Caenorhabditis elegans: one gene and its partners. The protein of the gene in region 3 interacts with the protein of the main gene of each other region in a pairwise test. Each region holds a gene or a part of one and is shown on either strand. Other genes may lie near its edges. The genes, in order: unc-98, sorb-1, vab-3 and meg-2.

Region 1 (5,580 bases), 2.9 Mb from region 3:
AGTTTTTTTAAATTTTTATTTATTCGTTTATTAGCTTTTTACCCCTTGAAATTTATCAAGGGGTAAAAAGCTAATAAACGCTGCGAAGGCGGGGCGGGAACGTTTAACCGGTAATAATGTAGTTTTACTGTTCCATAAGGGAAGATACTTATGTAAGAAGTTTTTGTGAGGCCACAAGTACACAGTAAGTATGGAAATCTAGGAGGTCCGGCTTTTCTGACAAGAGAGGATTTTATAAAGTAGGGCTATTGGTTCGTGGTATAAACGTATTGACTCAAAATGTGCTGGAAAAAAAAAACAAATTTCGTAGTGAGTCGCTTGTTCTCTTTTAAAACTTTATATTTAGCCCGAGTAGTGAGACTGTTTCATATACCGTATTTCTTCTATTAGTCTTGCATGCAAGACTAATTTTCCATTGGTCTGTAGGGTTGCAAGACTATTAGAGGCTGCAAGACTAGTTTTCGAATGCCCCATCTTTGAAAAAATGACCTATTTTTTGTTGAAAACTTAACTCGATAGCTTGCTGAACGATAAAAATATATACTTTTGCAATATTTCATAAATTATTTGATCATTTTCTAGGTTATTTTCTCAAAAATATCAAATTTGCTGACGTTTCCGCAAAGTACTACTGGTCTTGAAAAAAGAGGGATGCAAGACTATTAGAGACTGCAAGACTAATAGAGGCTGCAAGACTAATAGAGGAAATACGGAAAACTGTTTTTTAATGAAAAAGGGTCTGGTTACTTTATACTTGTTAAAAATTTAACAATTAAATGCATTTTTGTTGTGTAAAATTTCAACATTGGTGCACTTTTAGCCCGCTTGTGATGCATGAAAGAAAGATCCGATCAATCCAGAAGGTGGTGCAGCTCCAGTAAAATGTTTATTCCAATTAAAAGTCATAAAAGTCCCACATAACCGTTTAGATTCTTGAGAATTTTCATTCAAAGTTGTGGTAAATTGCCACAACTAGAATAAGTTGAACCTATGAAAAATATTAGAGCAATTCTGCATTTTTTTAAATGTCTACAATATATGTATATACAAATGATCAAATCATAGTTAGAATATGAAACTTGTATGTAGAAAAAACTATTTTTGCCGTGTTCCAAGATTGTGATTTGTGAAAACTGAATGATAACTACCTTTTTGAAAGCAAAATTATTTTAGATTATTTATCACTGTATAAAGGAGTGATTACAAAAAATCACCCTGACCGATGCTTCACATTTAAAACAATAGCTTCATAATCCTGCATAGTTTCAAATAATAGTTTTACAGTATGTAATTTAATATTTTTACAATTCATATTGAATAATTTCTAAAATATAAACTTCGTTGATCCTTTTCGATTATTATTTCAAAAAAAAAGTACTCTTTCTTTTGTTTGTACCCACATCTCCAAATCATTTGCACGTGTTCAACGTACTACACAAAATGTATGTCACCCACAAACACTAGCATCTGTGCCATTCATTTCAGAAACATGATTCCGCTTTGAAGTTATGTCGAGCACTGCAATCTAGACGCTTTTTTTACTTGTGTCGTCAAGATCTCTTTCTTCTTTAAGACAGTTGAGCAAGATTGAGGGAGACTGCAGACACAGAAGTGTCCCGCAAAACATCCAACGAGGAAAGGAAATGAGAGAGCGGGAGCATTTCAAAAGAGCACATCAGATCCAGAGATTGCAGAGGCGATTTCTCGCATTTTTCGATCGCGACGAGTCTCTTGAGTTTACACTGTGTGTTGAGCACCCCAGCTAGCCACACCGAGCATTCTACCCTCTGACAATTTTCACCCCCATTCCGACGACTAACCGCTGATATCCAGATACAACAATGGATGACGACATCTTCAAAGAGGTATTGTTCTTGATCACTGTGAGCTTTACTTAAATTTGAATTTTTTAGGCAAGAAAGGAAAGAGATGACTTCGAAGAGTTGATGAATGCCTGTGATCTTGCCAAGATGTCCGTGAAGAACAATGAAGTGAGTTAGAGAAACCGAGAGATGACGGAAAAACCGGAGAAAAACGCGGGGGTGTCTGTATTGCGAAATGATTAAAAAAATACCTTCCAGATGGTTCATGGTCTAGAAACCTTCGGCATCAATGGAGAATCGTCAGAAAATGGAAATAAGGAAAAGCCCAAAGAGATCATGAAAGTTGTTGCCCCAACAGTTGAAGCATATGTGAGTTTGGTAAAATTTAAAAAAAAGAATTTCAGAGATTGAAATGTTTGATAGGTTTTAAGGCAAATTTTTTTAAATGTTTTTAAGATTGGATTCATACTGACATTTTTCAACCCTTGGATACAAGTGAAAAAATGTTGAATTATCTGAATAGTGTCTGAAAACGCTTAAATACTTTAAAACAGCGCCATCCTAATTTGATTTTAAAAGCATCAAGTAAATTATTGTAGGTCGGAAGTTCAAGTGCTCAAACTCCAACAAAATCGAGTGGCGGTGCTTTGGATGGCAGTGATCAACAGGTTTGTTTTATTGTTTTTATGAAGTGTGTGTTTTTGTGCATTTTTTGTTGAATAGTTCGTGCTTTGAATAATTTTTAATTAAAAAAACATTGATTAGGAATGTAGTCTATAGGTTTGTACAGGCAAAATTTCCGGAGAAAATGAAACTATATTTTTTGAGTTGTTTGAGAGAAATTGTTAATTTTTTGCTGAATTTTAGATAGTTTAGAAAAGGTTTTATTTTCTAATTTTATAATTAGCATACTAGTAAAAACTTATTTGCCAGAATACACAAAGACAAACTCAGTTCTAATTTAATTTAAATTTAGCCCATTGTCGAAGTAACCATGTCCTGTACATTTGTTGGAAGAGAAAGCTCAGCAGGATGCTAAGAAGAAAAAAAAACAAATTATGATTTTTGTTGTTTGTGATTTTATTTTTCTCTTATCATTTTCAAATACTAACTTGGAATATAATTTCTTGCTGCTCCTTATGCTTTTTTCCTTCAACCTATCCATTTCCATTCTTCTCCTTTCCCAAGCTAATTCACATGGGTATTGTTGACTTACTCTTGTTTGTGAATAAACATTTTGCTGTTGTTGTTGAAGTTGATGCGCTCACTTTCAGCACACGAACCAAATGTGCGGAATATAGATGTGAGCATTGACAGCTTGAATGTGAAAGAATGAGGGAAATGGGAATAAAAGGAAGAAAAATATAAGATGAAGGAAAAACTGAAGAAGGGAGGGAATGAAGAAGGCGTTAAATGAAAAAGAGACTCTTTTAGTCGATGAAAAGTGATTATTGCAGGAAGTGCGTCAGGACGGAACTAGTGTGCAAAAAGATGACAACGGATTTGTATTCTACAAGTGTCGTTTCTGCGGACTCACATTCAACTTCATGAACACTCTCCGTGCACACGAGAGAATACATGACGTTTCACAGGTTTTCATTCGCTGGATTACTTATAGAAACTCTTTGTTTCAGCCATATGTCTGTGGAAAATGCGGAGACTCATTTGAATTTGCTTGCCAACTGGAATATCATGCCGCTCAGCACTCAGAAATTGACGGGTACAAGTGTGAATGCGGAAGGACGTTCTTTTCTTACACGGAAATGTTATATCACAAGCACACGGACGATCCACTCGAATTGATAGGTGCTCCAGAGGTTTGTCTAATTGAGAAATCTGAGAAATAATAAATTTACTAGATTTTACTAATCAGTAGAGCTTTTTGAAACAAAATCTGAATTACGAACTTCTCGGAAAAAAATCAACAGAATCTAGCTATGGCTGTTTTAATGTTTGATTTTTTATTCTTCAGTTCTTTCGACTCAAAATCTATCAAAACCTTTTCATCCAGCCATTCGCTTTTCAATTTTGTATTTGGTTTTCATAGTCCTTGATGTGAGAAAATTGTGAACAAAAACTTTGTGTGTCTTGGCTTTCTGACGTAAAAAAAATATTTTTCTCAACAAAAAAAAATTGCTGATAGCCTGTGAGAGGGTGCAATTTGATACGACTGCACTTACTTCTTGCATCACAACTGTTAAACAGATGGAATTTCAGTGCAAAAAAAAGAAAACGTTATGAAACAGAAGTTATGAAACCGAAGAAAGTTCCAAATTTAAAAACATGTTTTGGTCGTTTACCTTACGTTGTTTTGTTAATGAAGATACGTTTCAAGCAATTAGGGACCAAAAATTACCACAATTTGCTACCTAAGTCTTTGTGACTGGGAAAAATTGAAACAACTCGAGTTTTTGACTGAAATTTGGGTATTGCCTTTTCAAAATTTTGAACCCCCATAAACAAGTTTTTAAGTAATTTTTGAGAAGTAGTATTTCAAATTTCGTTCGTTTGGTTTTGTTAAAAATCACACGGAAAAAAAGCCGAAACCGTTTTTTTACTTTAACAAGGAATACATTTGTGAGAAGAATGAAGATTACCAATATAATTTGAAATACTTCAGACAACCACAATAAAAGTAAGCAAGAAGCGAGTCCTACCGGTCTCCGAGCAAGATCTTCCACAGCCAGCTTTCGTTACTGAAGGATACGAGCCGAAGCATCCACTCCGAGTGTACAACGACGTTCGTTCAAAACCATACATTTGTGAATATTGTTCGAAAAGCTACTCTGACAGTCGTGGTCTTGCATATCACATGTACAGTCATCGTGGAGAGAAGTACTTCAATCCTCGAGCATCTCGTTATATGATGGGAAGGGAAGGAGTTGGGTACACTGATTCCAGAAGCTACTATTTATTCCCAAGAACAAGCGGATACGTGACTCCGCGATTCTGAGCAACCCCTGAGTATTTAAAATTTTTCTAATTTAGTATTTAAATCTATCCAGATCTTGTAAAATATATATATATTTCAACATCGGCTAGCTTTAACAATATTTGTCCTTCAAAATGTATATTCGATATGGTTCTTTCATATAACTCATATTTCTTTCTTTCAACTAAATCAACGTTTTTCTTTAGTGTTATCGTTTTCTCATTTCTTGTCATTTTGTCTTTTCCTCACATTTTTAAGACGCTCGTTATAAAGACGGTCAGCAGCAGAAACTCGTTTTGTGTTCAACATAAACTACAATTGACTACAAAGCACAAAAATCGTGTGTTTCCAACGCACTCAGACACACTCTATAAATACTGTTCTCGTCATGTCTTGTTGGTATTTTCTTCTTTCCCTGAAATATCGATTCCTGGTCAATCGTACAATTGGGACCATGTTAAGCGGGAAAGACATTGACCGCTAGCACAAATGTTGTCCGGCTCTCTCACAATCAATCTTTCTTCTGTGATGTGTTACGACAACCCACAACCGATTTTTTGATAGCAAAAATGATAAGATGATGATAGCGAGACAGCTCAATTGTTCGTTGTTCTAGAAGTTGTACGTTTTTTTAAATTTATTTTGCATCATTTTGAATTCATTATTTAAAAATGTATAAAATTGTTTAATTAACGGTTCTCGAAATATTTTGCCACTTCACAGCCACGATATCTCACTCAATAAAGCAAATGCAATTTGGGACACGCACTTGTGTTCGTTATTAATATCGAGTCCCCATTGAAAAAACTAGGCCACGCGGCCGTG
Region 2 (4,960 bases), on a different chromosome or scaffold from region 3:
AGACTTTGTTACTTTTATGAAAATTTACCCCAATTTTTTAGTAGACCAAGAAAATAAACTTGTTCAAAACTTCTTCTTGAAACTGTATAAACAATTTTTTTCGTAGCTTTGAATTATAATTATATTCCGTATTTATTTGTGTCGACTGGCAGACTTTTTTGTATTTTTAAAAAATAGTTTGATGTTTTTCATATTCTGAAAATACTCATTTTTATAGATTTGGTAACTAATAAAAAAACTATTTTTAAGCACAATTAGTCTCCTAGGTTTATTCTTCGATGGCAAATTGTGATGCGAACGGCAAAAAACTATAATTTTTTTGAACAAATTTTTTGCAAATTTTAACTGTTTCTATGAAGTGTTAAAGTTTCTGTTCTTCCTTTGAAACTAATAAGCTTGCGCTCCACCTTTTTTTAAATACAACGGTTACTTCTGGCCAAAAGAGTACTAAATCAAAGGTGTGATGATCATGATCATAGTGATGAAAAAGTTTGTCTGGTCACTTGAGAGCAGTTCCATCTTCTCTCCTCTCATTCTCTTTCTCTTCAGCAGGTCCATCCGGCAATTGCTTAACAAAAATTGAAAGAAGAAAGACGAAAAGTGTGTAAAGTCATGTATATAGTGAGCAAAAAGATAGAGAGACGCAGACACTGAGAGAATGTGATTCTGTTTCGTGTCCCGGGGACAGAAGACGCAATGAGGGACATTCTTAGTTTCTCTAAGTGTGGCTCTCGCAACAATAATATCACTCGATTTACTGATAAAATTTTTCTTATTTTGGTTTTTTTGTCGTATTTCAAAATAACAACTTTTCGTAAAACCTAGTACTGTTTCGGGCTTGTTAACTATTACAACTGTGAAACGGTAATTTTTATTATTTTAATTTTCAATAATTTTAGTTTTCAGTGAAATACATAACTGATTTTGCAACTCCTACAATCATTGAGTTCTAATTATTTAAACTTAATGAAAGTGTAAAAAATCGTAGAAATAATTTTTTGGGTCGAACCCCAAATTCTGATAGATGAAATGTGGCCTTTTCCCTGTTATAAAAAATTTTTAACCTAAAAGTTTTACTATTCTTGAAAAAACTGCTCAAGTGACCAGACAACATTTTTCAAAAGTTGTACGTCTTACATACTCATGGACAAAGGTGGAATAGATTTGAAAATGTTGTAAAAGCTTTACCATTTCAAAGAAACAGTATAAAATTTAAACACTTGTTCCAGAATGTTATTTTCATTTTTAAAATTAAAAAATTACAAGTGTCTTTTCTATTTTAAGAAAACAAAAATTAGCATTTTTCAATTCCAGCAATGGCAAAATTGTGATTGCCGTGCACATTTTACCCGGTCTTGGAAGCTATTTTTAAAAACTAGATACATTCTCATTCAAGTCTCAAAAGGTGTTCAAAACTTTAAAAACAATAACTTTAACACAAGCATTAACATTTCAACAAAAATTATGATTTTAAGGATTGCGTCAATTGAACGTGAATCCATTGTGGGAGCTTTAACACTTAAATGAAACAGTCAAAACAAAAATTGACAATATGGTCATTTAAGTACCATCCTTATAATTCCAAAAATGCATTCTACTGGCGCTCCTAAATGTCAAATTTAGTTGGAAATTGGGTTCAAAATCTTTATAGAATTTAAAAATCTAGTGAGAAAATATTTTGAAAATTAAAACAAATTTTCAAGATGTCTGAAGTTTTCTGGAAAATGGAAAATATTCTTGAATAGTGTACATCCCATGAATCTGCAATTATTGTCAGATTGGGTAAAGTTCGAGAACTATAAAAACTGTTACAGTACAAATTTCAAAAAAAAATCCCATTTCTGACAGAACATATTAGTCTTCCGTATTTCACATTTTTCATTTATTCTTTCCTTTATTTTGTTATACAATTCTTCAAACTCCCATATTCCAGGAATGATGCATCATCCTCATCCATTCGGGTCAAACCTGGCGGTAAGAGCTTTCAATTAATCTACTCCACAATCCCTAATTAATTTCCAGAACTCATCAGAACCACAACAGCCATCTGGTCAATATCTAAATCCTGCAGCAGATGCCTACAACTTTGACACCTTTGAAGATTCTGATAAATTCTCACCGAAGGGAAATGTGGCGGCGTTGAGAAATGTGATACATGGGCAGTTGGATATGAAGACACCAACTGGAAATAGTTCCAGATATCAGAAACCAGCGCCTCCGCCTGTTGGTGAGTTTTGTTTTTCTAGGCGTTCTATGTATTAAGCTACGAAATAATAGTTTTCGGAAAGTAACACATAGCTCATATGAATTCCTTGAAACTGTAAAAAATGTTAGTCAACAAGATAGTCAACAAATACACGATTGGCTGAGACCTGGTACCTCGACGGACCTGGAAGATGAAGCAGCAATTTTGCAATTAGATTTTTGTCATTTTTTCTATTAATAGTAAGATATTTTGGTTTCTGTCCGAATGCTGCAAACAGTAACAATAAAGTTTTGAAGTAGTCTTATAAACTATCTAAAACTGTTTTTTTTGTATAATTTTTTCTGATTTTGCGGAAAACAACTCCTGATGTCTCTCCTAACCAGCAATATTCAAAAAATCCAAATGTTTTGATGTTCAATAAAATAATAAATTCCAGACTCAACTCCTTCCTGGGCCAAAAATGTAAAAGTATACGAACCAAATGGATATGTGGATCCACATCTTAACAAGCATAATATGGGAAGAGTACTTGATGGTCCTGTCAATCCAAATAAATATTTTCAAGGAGTGAGTTTTATTTTGAAAAAAACAGCGATACAATAAAGCAACGAACTTTTCAAACTGAAAACAATGTGCTGAAATAGTTAAATTTAGTTATTACTGACCATTTTTTACTGATATTATTTTCTTTTTGGCTTTTTTTACAAGCTATGAGTGAAACACGTGAGTTTTTTTCTAGAAATTATTATCGACTAAAGCTTCACTAAAAATTGTAAAATATGAGCAAAATTATTTTGAGTTTTGAAGTTTTCTACTTTTCAGAAATACAATTCACAAGTAATAATAGCTTCTATATACGAAATTTCAAAAATTTAACAGTTTTTAAGTTAAAAAAGAACAAACCGATCAGATCAAACCGGAAAATTGTAAATGTCCTAAATGGCTTTCACGAAACAGTAGAACTTTCTTTTTAATTTTCCGAAAACACAACTTTTCAGTTCTATTTTGAAAATTGTACATTCCGGGAAGTTTATGAAAAATCCTTATGTAGATAAAAATTTACGCAAAATTGTTTTAAAAAACGTTAAAATTTTGTGTACAGTTTGAAGATTTGCAAAAATTTAAAACAATGAAAATACTTTTTCGTGTTGTCTATGAAAACTACATTACTATTTTTTTGTGATAGGAAAACTTATAGGAAAAATGTTTTGAGTACTTTTTAAAACTTGCAAATGCAAATGACCTGAAAAATCGCCAAGACATTTCATGTTGTTCTAAAAAATTTAGTGCTTATTCTCTTACTTAGACTTGTTGCGACACACTGAAGATTGAAACCAATAAACATTTTTCGCTTGTTCTATTGTCATGACATAAAATTCCTGAAACAGAAAAAATTGTGGTTTCTATTTTTTTTTTTTCAATTTTCTATGAAAATTGGGTCAAATAGTGTCTGAAAGTTGTCATTTGCTGAAAAAGTTTCACGGCAAACCCTAACTCAGGCACTATTTGAGATAATTTTCGAACTTTGCAGAAAAAATAAATATCATTATCAGATAGAACTCATAGAACAAACCTTGTCCTACATTTCTGTAATGATTTTTGATACAAAAAAAATATAATCACCAAACTAAAATACGTAGGTTTGTACATTTGCTGAAAAGATTTTCCGCGCAGAACTGATTCTAACCAGGAAAATCAATAAAATTATAAAGTTTTATTCAATTCGGTGTTGATACCTCCAATTTCTTGCAAACGGAATGCCAAAATCAGTTACTTGAAATTCGAAGCGGGGAAATTTGAAAGACCGACTCTATTAACATCTTCGCATTATGTTATGAAGTTGAAACAGCAGAATTATTTTTTGCAACTTCCAGGTTCCACCGGCCAGTTACAGTCAAGTAAAGCACAATGAGTCGAAACCACCAGTGCCTCCTTCCACAAAGCCTCCACACTCTGCTGCTCAAGCCCTTCAGGCTCAGGTCCTACAGAGCTCCAAAGCCCCCTCTCAACCCCAGCAATCTCAAAAAACGTCCTACCGAATCCCGTATGACGTGGCGCTCGATCCACGTCATCACCTCGGAGAATTCGACATTGATGACAGTGCATCAATTATTTCCTCGTGTATCTCGACATTTGGAGAATCTTCAGAAATTGCTGGATTTTCTGCGGCAGCCGAGCAACGGCATCTCTATGAGCAATATAGGAAAAAGTTAATGGAAGAGAAAAATGAATTGAAAGAGGGAAGTGAGACACCGTGTGTATCTTTGTCTGAAAAAGTGATGACGTCATCGACTGAAAATTTGAAAAATGGAAATAATCAGCAGAATCAACAACCTGAGCCTCAGCCTCCATCAAGCTCAATATTCAATTCAGAACTCACACCGTTTGGCCACGTGGCTCCTGTTGCTAAACAATTTGAACCAACAAATTTTCCACCATTTTCTCCAGAAAAAGAGAGTGAAATCAAGAGATCTATCGATTTGGAAAGTTCCCAACTTCTCGTAAAATCAAAATCCCCGGCTCCCTACTCTACAAGCTCGACGGATCATTATGGAACTATTCGAAGGAAGCATAAACCAGTGGCAATTGACCTTTCCAAGTCATCACCCAACTTGGCGAGTCAATCGCCGAGCAATTTATTTTTTGGAGCCAGCTTTGAGGAGAAGCAAAATCGATCGCCGATGACATCAACTCCGTCTTATAAAGAACAAGGATTCAAAAATGATAGGTGAGTTGATGTTTTCGTGGAACATA
Region 3 (4,809 bases):
GTGTTTGACCTTTAGAATATTTATTACAGAGTTTTAATAAATCAAATTGTCTATTGTATGTAGTTTTTTTTTTGGTTTTACATTTACTGATTATTAGATTAAAATTAAATAATTCAATTTTGAAAATTCAGAAAAATAGTTTTGACATCCTCTACTACCTTTTTTTCTCATTTTATCTTTAAAAAATTAATTCAGGGCGATCATTCCCGCCAAATACGGACATGAATCCCATTTGGTTACCAAAAAAGTGCGGCGGCTGTCGTTGAAAATAAAAAAATCCAAAAAGTGGGAAAACGACATCTTCTGTTCACTCATGCGTACAGAATCTCCAAAAACATTTCGCCGTATTCATTTTTGGCGTGATGTACCACATATGACTTGGTCCAGATAAAGGTACTGGTGTAAATTTGTCTGTTGTGTAATCGGCATTTGACGCTAGCTTCTTGCCCAAGTTTGGCAAAAAATTTCAACTTGAATCACAACACGATAAGCTTGGTTTGGACTGTGTTTAAGTTTACGCCAAGTTTGATCCAAATAACAGTTTTTAAATAATATTTTTTTTAATTTTTGGGAAAAACGCAGGTAACGCCAAATGCCAAGTATAATTATTTTTAGACAACCGTCTAAAATTTGGAAAATATATTTTTAATACAAAAAATCTTACTCCGAGATTGATAAATGTGGAAATTTTGTAAACTACGATAAAAAATGCAAATTATTCTTAGTGTGTCAATAAAATTTTTCTATTTACTTTTCACAGTCCCAGTACTTGTTTCCTGCCAGATTTTCTCAAATAGGACTGACACCTGAAGCGGAATAATTTGCTATTTGACTTCCGAGCCCTCGAATTCTGGCGGGCGGTCCAACAAGAAGAACCCTCAATATTCCGTTAGTTATTTGTCGTCTCTGAAGACTTTATTGTCGGATGCAGCGATACCGTAGTCCGAAGAAAAGAATAGAAGAAACTGACAATGAATGGAGAAGTGGAGTAAAGCCAGCTACAAGCAGGGCAGAAAATATAAATGAATAAGTAAAGAAATCAGTTACAGAAAAGTGACATTAAATTTTTTCCACGTATCAAATTATGAAAATTATTCATAGCGAGGTTTTTTAAATGTTTAATTTGCAGTTACACTGCTTGAATCCGAATATCGATGCGGTTGCATTAATATTTATGTATAAGGAATCATCAAAAATAAAAGCAGTAGCTGATTAAAACTTATTTTTAAATCAGATATGTGGTGCATCTCCTTTTCAGAAACCAAGTAGTTTTGTTCGATCTGTTAAATTCTGTTAATCACAATGGTTCAGAATGTCTGTAAACATGCTTAGAAAACTAATGAGGTCGGTGGAGCAGAAAGTCTGTGAAAACTTCTAATTGGAATCAGGTGCTGGCAGTGAAATCACAAAATATCTTGGTCTGTACACCGGGCAAGAGCATGCCTACACCCCGCGAGTTTGGCATGGCTAATCCCTTGTTTGACAGATGTTCAGGGGGAAGGAGCTACCACTGAATAGTTTCCACGTGAGTAGAAATTGATTCATGTTCATAACATTGATGGCAATGTATTCGAGAAACAATGCCCATCTGCCACAAGTTGCAAAAGGTAGATTGTGAATAAAGCTGCGCATAATCCATAGAGAATATGAATGAAAACTCCGCCCATTTCAAAGAAGACGATTGGCCCGAGAATAGAAGCAAAAAGTCAGCGGTGTCCTAGGTGAGACAACGGAGAAAACGTGTCCGGGCGCGGCTCTTTTCAATTGTGGACCGAGAGGGAGAGACGTCGACGTCTTCTTTTTATGTCACACTATATCGTTGAAATAGTTTCGCGCTTTTTTGTTCTGTCCCCCGAAAGTTTGTTGGACAGTTAGATACTGAGGATCTCTTATTCTAACACTTCCAATATCTACACTTACACTAAATTTTACGCTACACAACACCAAAATCCGCGAGTATTCAAATAGTGACGGTCGAGTTGACAAAAGTGAACGTGGTGAGTTAAACTCTTGTTGGGTAATGAGTTAGCAGAAAATCAATAAGATGGCGAGCACTTTCAGATGGGCGTGCTAATGAGGTGGGCATGGGCTAGAAGTAAGAACTACCCTTCTTCGTCGGCATATATTTTCTCATTTCAGTCTGTTGCCTTTCTGCTGATTATCATTAGACTTTCTTGTTGAGTAGATAAATTTTGATGCCTCATTGACAATCATAAATAATAGAGAAACAATCGATATTGTCATAATGATAACAAACTAAGTAGGAATAATGTAGAACTGGTTATATTTTGAATAATTTCAAAACTCTTTGGTCTTTAGGCTAAATATAGAAACCGAGTCCTTCTCGAAACATTGATGTCGTGGGCTGCTATCATGTGTCTCCTATGACTTCAAACTTTTCTGAAATTACGTTACCTAATTTTTTTGAGCTTTCATGTTGTATCACAAAAATTTTTCATTCTGCTATAATTTTTCACAGATAATTGTTTGGTTCTAAATTCTGGGCAAAGTTTCAGAATATATTTTGAACTTTAGAACTGAATTCTTGAGCATTTCTGATTTAAAAAATCTTTTTGAACTTTTGCTACAACTTCTTTTCTCTACCATAAAATGTTTTCAATCTTGTTCGATGCTTCTACAAAAACTCCAACATCAGGAGCCATGCTTTCTCCTCCCACTTATGTTATTCATTGTGTATGTACATCCGCATGTGTCCATCATTGACTCCAAATTCCATTAGCCATCTACCGTATCTGGATTTCCGGTGTGTGACGCCGACTCCATGGCCAACACAGAATCATCGTAATTCTCCCCGCAATCTACATATCGCTACTCCAATTTTCGAATTTTGCCCCGTGTTGCAATTCCAATGCATTCAATCAAATTTAAAAGTTTTGATGATTTGTCTACTCATTTTTCCCACCCGTTCCGTTTTCTCCATGTTCAACATTTTTGTCGCCACCACCATCACTGAGAGGGGTTTTTGTAATTGGCTTGAATTGACACCCATTAACCGGCACACCCGCTGTTTGGAAGATGTCATAACGAAAACGTCGTTTGATGGAGGTCTTTGTCCGCGCCTTGTTTCCCTGTCCCTATAGTTGAAGGTGTTCGCCATCAGGCACCACTACTTTTTTGGCGCCCCTCTCTTTTTCTCTCTCGTCAGTGTCAAACGAGTAGTTGAAAATTGTGCTATTCCAAATTACATGGAGCCCCACTCCTCTGACCCGAAAGCCTTTCCATCAAATTTCGTTTTAGTAGATCTTTTTAACTTGTCATTATGCTCCTTTGGATAAACGATTTGGCTCACAGGCAAAGCATTTTCAACTGTGGGGACATTCCGGAAACACTTAGCCAATTGATAATGACAGTCCATCGATGAGTTATAAGATATGTTATCAGATGTACAAATCTGACACCCATACAACAGTCCTCACCTCGCTCTCGTCGTCATTCAGTTGCCAAAATCGTCATGCCTACTTCCAATTATGCAACTTTATCTTACGGGAAAATCTAATAACTTTTGCATTTCAGCTATGGCACACATGTTCAAGACATATTTTTAAAAAGTGAAAAGGTTGTCGGGAATATATAAAGATAAGGTATTGAAACTTTGGAAGCCCACGTTGAGACACTGTAAATAAACATTCACATTCACAATTTTTATCGTAGTCACTAATGTCTTGTTCCTTTAAAAAACATTTTCAATTTGCGGATTACAGAGGAACTAACTTCAAAAATTAAAAAAAAATCATTGAAAACGTTTTCTAGAATTACTTTTATTGAGTTAGAAAAGTAGAATCATGCGCAAAGTTTTTAAATTGATGTGCAAGAAAAAATTATCTTTAAGCCTAAAAAGCAAAATCCAATTTACGACACTTCCAAACGACAGTAAAAATTTTAAAAATTCAAAACTTCTCTTTTTATTTTTATCCGCAATCTTTGAATCACCAAGACCACTATTATGAGCAACTTCAAACAAAAAAGTTTATGAGTTCAGATGTAGTTCGAGATACTGAGTCATGAGCCTTCTCCTTTTCGTTCTCAAGATTTTGATCTCCTCAAACCGAGCTGGGTCCATTTCTACAGCATTGTTCTATTCTTTTGTCAAATTGGCTTTTTTAACCCTTTCTTACCTGCCGAGGCCTTCTTTGTTACCTTCCGATCACCACATCTCGACGGTCCTCCCCTCTTTATCTTACTTGCTGCTAATTACGTGTTCTCGTCAGTCGGCTCCAGGCCCGGATTAACTTTGACTACAAAACATATGTCGTTTGTGTTGTCTCGCTGCTGCATCAATTCTGGGTCAATAATTTGTGATTAGCTACCACCTCCGGTCTAATTAAGGGCTCCACAGGTTGAGGCAGCTCACCTTCTGTTGTTCTTGTTTGGTAATACCAAAGCATCTATGTAGTTAGACTTTTGTAAAAGATTATGAATCAGTGAATCAGTACTTGCAGACAACTGAAAAAGAGTACATGCTTACTTTGACGTTAATGGAACTTCTAGAAGTATCAGATAATGTATTAGAAAATAGGTACCTGATTATCATATGGGCCAGTGACTCGGAGACGAGTGATAAAGTATCACATGTAACTGAGCATGTAGTACATGTACCCTAGAAATCCCACCTTCCATCTCACCTTTTTCGGGTCTTACTTCTGTTATTCTTTTTTAGTTTCCATAATTCACTCAAAACCGCTCATTACCATTACCACATTACTACTTCTCCGCTATATGCATTTGATATTAGACACCAACTATTGTGACCGGTGTCTTCAGTCTTTTCCCGCAATGGAGTAGGTGACT
Region 4 (5,866 bases), 3.4 Mb from region 3:
ACAATTTGAAATAGATTTTCATAAGCTGTTGTTTTTACACTTTCAAACATGAAACAGTTTTCTCAAAATCATGTTATAAGTTACTATCGAAGATCTATCTTTTGCCAATTACCAACATGTAAACTTTCAAAACTCACATTTAATTCATTCGAAAAGATAATCCTTTGGGCTTCAAAGTTTCTTTATTCTCGTTACAAAGATTCTGAGCAAAATAGCAAAACCCGGTTCCCTTACAGAATTAAGCTATGCGGCGTTAAAAATGACAGTTTCCTGCATAAAAATTTTAATTACTGGAATAAAATAGTACCTTATTTCCCCAAGCCTGTCTCAGAAATTTTGTTCGGAAAACGTCTCGGTCAACTTTTTGTTGACAATGTTTTACCCTCTTCCCCCCCTCATACTTAGTCACCGGACTCTTGCGGGTCCAAATGATTATTTTATATCTAGTTATTCATTCCTTTTTCCTTCACTTCACTGCTTTGTCGTAATTGTGTCATTGTGATTGTTGCCTGATGAATAAATATAAATAAATAAATAAAAATAATTGTATGCATTAAAATAAACAACAATAAAAACGACCGGTGAGGTTATACTTGACAGTGGCTAGGAACCCGAAAAAAATTGAGACTGAGCACTATGAGATACAAGTACAATACAAGATGGGCTGCTTGTTGAAAAAAAAATCACAGGAAAAAACTAGAAGTCGTAAAATTGGTTAGTATGGTAAGAAGAAATGGTATGGTAAAAAAGTGGGTAATAAGGCTGTTATTGGTAGGCGAGCCATTGATCAAAATTAACTGCTGAGAAGTTCCTGTTATGAGATACAAGTACGATACAAGTTGGGCTGCTTGTTGAAAAAAATCACAGAAAAACAACTAGAAATGGTAAAATTGGAAAGAAATGATATGGTACAAAATTGGGTCGTAAGATTGATGTTTGTAGTTGAGCCAATAGTCAAAATTAGTTGCTGGGAGGATCCTTGTCACTGAAATTATAAAGATGTGATATTTAACTATTTTTCCCGCTTACCTCTGATTGTCTGATTTCGGTGAATCAGCCTGGTTCAGATCATCTTCGGGATGATCTATATCGTTGCGACGAGAAGCTTCTCCTTCTGCTTGGCGTGGGAAAGATTGGGCCAGCAAGTCGCTCAATGCGTTGACATTGGCACTGAAAATTATAATTGGTACTTTTTTTATTGGAATACTTTGATGTGCTCGGCTCAGATAAAGAATTAATTGGTACGCGTGTATTATAACCAAACTTTTTTTTAATGCAGCGAGTGCCAAAAAATGCCGAGGCATCGGACTGGATTCCTGTGTGTACCTGGCATCATCTGCTCCTTCGACCGTCGCTGACACTGTTTGATTCTGCACATCCGCCGAGCCTGAGGCTCTGGCGTTTGAGCTGTTGAGAGCAGCAGACCTGGCATTCAAGTTAATAATGGATTGGAGGAAGTTGATGTTCGCTCCGCGATACTGCATTTGCACCATCGTCCGCCAGTAGTCGTAAAGCATCGCCTTTAGTGTTATTGAGAACTTTAGCACTGGAGTCTCACCTAAAATTATTTGAAATCAAAGAATACACATTTTTCCACCTACTGGTTGATGTGCCTGAATCATAATTTGGATCAACTCCAGGAAGTAGGTCGTTGTACAATCGCCTTGCAAATTGCTCAAACTCCAGAGTGTTCAAAAATTCTTCCTCTTGCCTTATCAGATCAGGCAAATGAGGTGCAGGACGTGATGAGCTTTGTTGAACTGGGAACTGTTGATTCCCGGAGCCGTGATTCATAGATGAGTTGGAGGGACCTGCTGTGGAACTTGTTTCAACTTGAGCAATTCCATGAGCCATCAAGAAGCTTTCCTGCAGACTGGGCAACTGAGGTGCAGGGCGTGATGAGCTCTGTCCCATTCGGAACTGTTGATTCCCGGAGCCGTGATTCATAGATGAGTTGGAGGGACCTGCTGTGGAACTTGTTTGAATTTGAGAGAGTCCATGAGCCATCAAGAAGCTTTCCGGCAGATTGGGCAACTGAGGTGCAGGGCGTGATGAGCTTTGTTGAACTGGGAACTGTTGATTCCCGGAGCCGTGATTTATGGAGGAATTGGAGGGACCTGCTGGGGACCTTGTTTCAACTTGACCAATTCCATGAGCCATCAGGAAGCTTTCCGGCAGATTGGGCAACTGAGGTGCAGGGCCTGATGAGCTGTGGTTCATTCGATTCCCGGAGCCGTGATTCATTGCATTGAAAAGACCTGACAGAGAACTCGTTGGAATTTGAGAGTTTGCATGAGCCATCAGGAAATTTTCCGGAAGAGCAGGCAATTGAGGTGCAGAACCTGATGAGCTCTGTCCCATTTGGAACTGTTGATTCCCGGAGCCGTGATTTATAGATGAATTGAATAGACCTGACAGAGAACTCGTTGGAACTTGAGCGTTTGCAGGAGGCATCTGGAAGGTACGATCTCTCGAACGGTTATCCATGTTCATTGCTCGAGTATCTGCATTTTGATTATTTGGCCACAAACCCATGTGTGGAGGAGCTTGAAAGCCGGCATTTGGAAAACCGTATGGCATATTTGAAGTCGGATATCTTCGTGCATGAGCCCTCTGAGCAAGTTCATAATCGTACATGTCTACAAGCCTGGGAACTCCGTGAAGCCTGGGAACACCGTTAGACAAAGGTCTTGGTACGAAATTCATTGGAACGTGGGAATCGCCTTGAGCCATCTGATTACCCATGTTCATTGCTCGAGTATCGGAACTCTGACCATTGACCTCAGGACCAATGTCTGGAGCTTGACCGCCCGTATTTTGTAGACCGTTTGCATTATTTGGAGCCGAATGTCCTTGTATTTGAACCAATCGTGAAGATCTATTGTCTGCCTCTCTTTGGTAATTATATTGCAACCGGAAAATTGGAGCATGTTCTGTTCGTGATTGCGATGACATGGTGGAAGAAGATTCAGAGCGATTTCGATTTCTTGTATCCTGAATCACTGGCTCTTGGAGGCTCGTATTATTGCTCGTTCTCCCATCTCCAATGCTGCCAAATTGATTTTTGACGCGATGTGTGGCCCGGGATGATCTCCGTTGGACAGTCCGGCTTTCGCCTTGAAACGAATTATCAGAAAAACTGTATTCGCGCCACTGATCTACGGATGGTAGATTGATGGAAACGTTACTCCGGTCACCTGCATACTCATCGCGATCAACACCTGAAACAATTTAGCTTATTAATATATGAAGTGCCAAAGAATAAATGAAGTTGTACTTATGTTTCCGATAAATGTTTCATATAAAAAATAAATAGAAATTGGAACCTTATCAATTTGTTATGTTTTGATAACTTATTTTCATTCAATTATTACCCGGTACTTCAGTAAGAAATAAAGAGAGAAAATTTCATACAACATGAATATATGATTCTCCCGACTGTTGAAGTAATGCACTGTGAACGTAGATAATTTTCTAATCAAAGTTTAGATTTGAGGCTCACCTGGAACCTGGTTCTGATGTGAGGGCGCCTGTCCTCCTTGAGACTCGTCTCTCGATTCATATGTCTGTCCACGCCGAGTTGTTGATCGTGGCGGAAAATTGCTTGCATTCCTGTTGTCCGTTTCCTGTGCAATTGTACCACTTTGGTTAGTTCTACTTTGTGTGGACGCGGATGAATCGGATTGAACGGTTGGATCATCGGCAAGAGACGTGTTTCCAGAGAAGCACAGCCAAAAATTCTCCAAATTATTTGAGCCATTGTACATGTCTGTCCAATAAAGTTGCTGCTGGTTGTGAACTGCACCTGTAACAAACCGGTTTAATAAATATAGTGAATCTAAATTTATTTTTTTTTACCTCCAATACTACGCATGTTGGTCGAAGAAACTGATTCATCACGATTCCCGACTCTCGCTCTTTCTTGGGACTGTTCGCGACGGTGATCTCCGGGTGGTGGGAGATTCTCATCCGATGAAAGATCATCACAATTTTCCATTGCCGCGCAACAAATGGAAACCTAAAAATTGAAAAATTGTAGAAAAATGTTAAGAAAAAAGAAAAAAAAGAGATTTCGCAACAACTGCAGATGAAACAGAGAGCGGACCACTGTCCACGTGTAATGGAACGAAGACTGAATGGAGTGCCTCGGAAGGAAAAGTGAGAGGGAAGAGACGCAGCAAGTGCGTGACGGAACTGTGACGATGGATATGATGAAAACAGTGCACACGCGAATTATTGATTTTACCATTGTAAACTGGAACAGATAAAAATGGAACGGTTCTTATTTATGCATGATTTTTTTCTTTGAATTTGAAAACCTAAGTTAGCTGTGAAAGGGCGAATGTGATCGTTTGAAATTTCTCAGAAACCTTATGAAATTCTGGCGTTTGAGAGTTTAAAGTATGCAGAAATTAGAGTTGTAGGGATTTCAAGAAAAAATTGCATAGTTCAGAGTTTCTCAAAATAAAATTCTCTGAAGTCTTATTGGTGTGCAATTTTCTGCTGTTGAACTATTTAAAACAGTGCTGGCCAATACTCGCTTTCAATTTTTCGGCGACTATTTAGACTTTTCCAATAAGTATGCTCCAAAAGCTATACGTTTCAGCAAGAAACTTTTAACTAAAAAAGTGATCCACACGTTTTTATCTACTTAACCTAGTTAAATACGAGCATTCGTTGATCAAATGAGGTCTTAGGTTGATCACTTGAAAAATATAAAAATGCACCGAATCAAGCCACATCATAATTGAACTTTACAAGTTTGTCCTACCATTAAACCTGAACTCGTTTTCTCAATATCTTCATCATGTGAAAAACGGTATGACTTTTAAAATAAACCAAAATAATTCAATGGGTATTTGTTTTTGAAAGATATATGTTTGGATTAGTAATTTCCAGTTTTTACAACAAATTTCAAACATTTAGAACAAAATATTTTTATCGAAATAAACAACAATAGTCGGTGAAATTGTACTGGACAGTGACTGGAAAACCGGTAAGACTGAAACTGAGCACTATGAGATACAAGTACAATACAAGATGGTTGAAGAAAATCACAGGAAAAAGAATTTCTAATCGTGAAATTGGTTAGTGTGGTAGAAATAGAGAGTGTTATGGTACAAAATTGGGTAATAAGATTGATGTTGGCAGGCGAGCCAAAAGTCAAAATTAGTTGCTGGGAGGTTTCTACTATGAGATACAAATACAGCACAAGATGGGTTGATGGTTGATGAAAATCACAGGAAAATATAATTTGTAATTGTGAAATTGGTTAGTATGGTAAAAATAGAATTGTTATGGTACAAAATGGCAGCACAGTAAGTGTGTTCTTGTAGGCGAACCAATTGTCCAACGTCTCATTCATTGCTTGGCAATTCCTTGTCACTGAAAAAAAAATTGCTTGTTATTTATATAAGTTCACAAGTCTCACCTTTGCTTGTCCGATTCTTGTGGCTCAGCTTGTTTCAAATCACTTTCAGAATGAACATTCTTGGTGCAATCAGGAGCTTCGTCATCTTGTTGGTGGAGGAAGGATTGAGACATGTAGCCTTTCACAGAGCTGGCAATATCACTGAAAAGAAATAATAGTACATCGGAATTCGTTTATTATGGTTAACATACCTTGAAGTGCTTGGCTCAGGCGAAAAGTTGATCTTTTCATCAAGCATACGAACAAAATTATCCATGTCCATTGTGCTTCGCTTTTTGATGCCACTGTATCTAATCATCTTCTCAAAGGATGGTGTTTTGGGCTTAGTTGAAGCTGCTGGAACTGGCCCGGCATGACTTTGTGAAGAATCCAAATTCTCATCAAGTGTCTCCAAGGTATTATCAAGACTGGCAGCGGGACGAATGTACATGGATC

The links.
Region 1: the proteins of vab-3 (region 3) and unc-98 interact in a two-hybrid assay, tested with the Caenorhabditis elegans proteins (2 studies listed by BioGRID).
Region 2: the proteins of vab-3 (region 3) and sorb-1 interact in binary tests that used the Caenorhabditis elegans proteins (3 or more experiments, as listed by UniProt).
Region 4: the proteins of vab-3 (region 3) and meg-2 interact in a two-hybrid assay, tested with the Caenorhabditis elegans proteins (2 studies listed by BioGRID).

The regions. Positions count from the first base shown.
Region 1 is NC_003284.9:7,569,836-7,575,415, reverse strand, and holds unc-98 (Zinc finger protein unc-98), read left to right. Parts: upstream 1-1,826; 5' UTR 1,827-1,841; coding exon 1,842-1,865; intron 1,866-1,913; coding exon 1,914-1,991; intron 1,992-2,081; coding exon 2,082-2,192; intron 2,193-2,422; coding exon 2,423-2,491; intron 2,492-3,039; coding exon of another isoform or gene 3,040-3,059; intron 3,060-3,280; coding exon 3,281-3,415; intron 3,416-3,457; coding exon 3,458-3,640; intron 3,641-4,443; coding exon 4,444-4,776; 3' UTR 4,777-5,042; downstream 5,043-5,580. Other genes in the region: pcyt-1 (Putative choline-phosphate cytidylyltransferase), read right to left, coding at 3,040-3,059. UniProt on the Caenorhabditis elegans protein: Probable transcription factor required for muscle structure.
Region 2 is NC_003282.8:13,748,401-13,753,360, forward strand, and holds the start of sorb-1 (SH3 domain-containing protein), read left to right. Parts: upstream 1-1,932; 5' UTR 1,933-1,935; coding exon 1,936-1,974; intron 1,975-2,022; coding exon 2,023-2,227; intron 2,228-2,252; exon of another isoform or gene 2,253-2,273; intron 2,274-2,458; exon of another isoform or gene 2,459-2,482; intron 2,483-2,642; coding exon 2,643-2,773; intron 2,774-2,784; exon of another isoform or gene 2,785-2,805; intron 2,806-2,859; exon of another isoform or gene 2,860-2,883; intron 2,884-3,096; exon of another isoform or gene 3,097-3,117; intron 3,118-3,355; exon of another isoform or gene 3,356-3,376; intron 3,377-3,389; exon of another isoform or gene 3,390-3,410; intron 3,411-3,526; exon of another isoform or gene 3,527-3,547; intron 3,548-3,989; exon of another isoform or gene 3,990-4,010; intron 4,011-4,080; coding exon 4,081-4,934; intron 4,935-4,950; exon of another isoform or gene 4,951-4,960. UniProt on the Caenorhabditis elegans protein: Required for organization of sarcomeres in body wall muscles and for maintaining normal mitochondrial position in myocytes.
Region 3 is NC_003284.9:10,498,109-10,502,917, forward strand, and holds the start of vab-3 (Paired box protein 6 homolog), read left to right. Parts: upstream 1-1,781; 5' UTR 1,782-1,997; intron 1,998-2,129; exon of another isoform or gene 2,130-2,185; intron 2,186-2,979; exon of another isoform or gene 2,980-3,086; intron 3,087-4,021; exon of another isoform or gene 4,022-4,127; intron 4,128-4,462; exon of another isoform or gene 4,463-4,603; intron 4,604-4,809.
Region 4 is NC_003284.9:13,922,112-13,927,977, forward strand, and holds meg-2 (Protein meg-2), read right to left. Parts: upstream 4,019-5,866; 5' UTR 3,998-4,018; coding exon 3,859-3,997; intron 3,806-3,858; coding exon 3,503-3,805; intron 3,222-3,502; coding exon 1,602-3,221; intron 1,559-1,601; coding exon 1,327-1,558; intron 1,171-1,326; coding exon 1,030-1,170; intron 986-1,029; coding exon 961-985; 3' UTR 532-960; downstream 1-531. Other genes in the region: Protein meg-1, read right to left, coding at 5,358-5,385, 5,432-5,572, 5,623-5,866.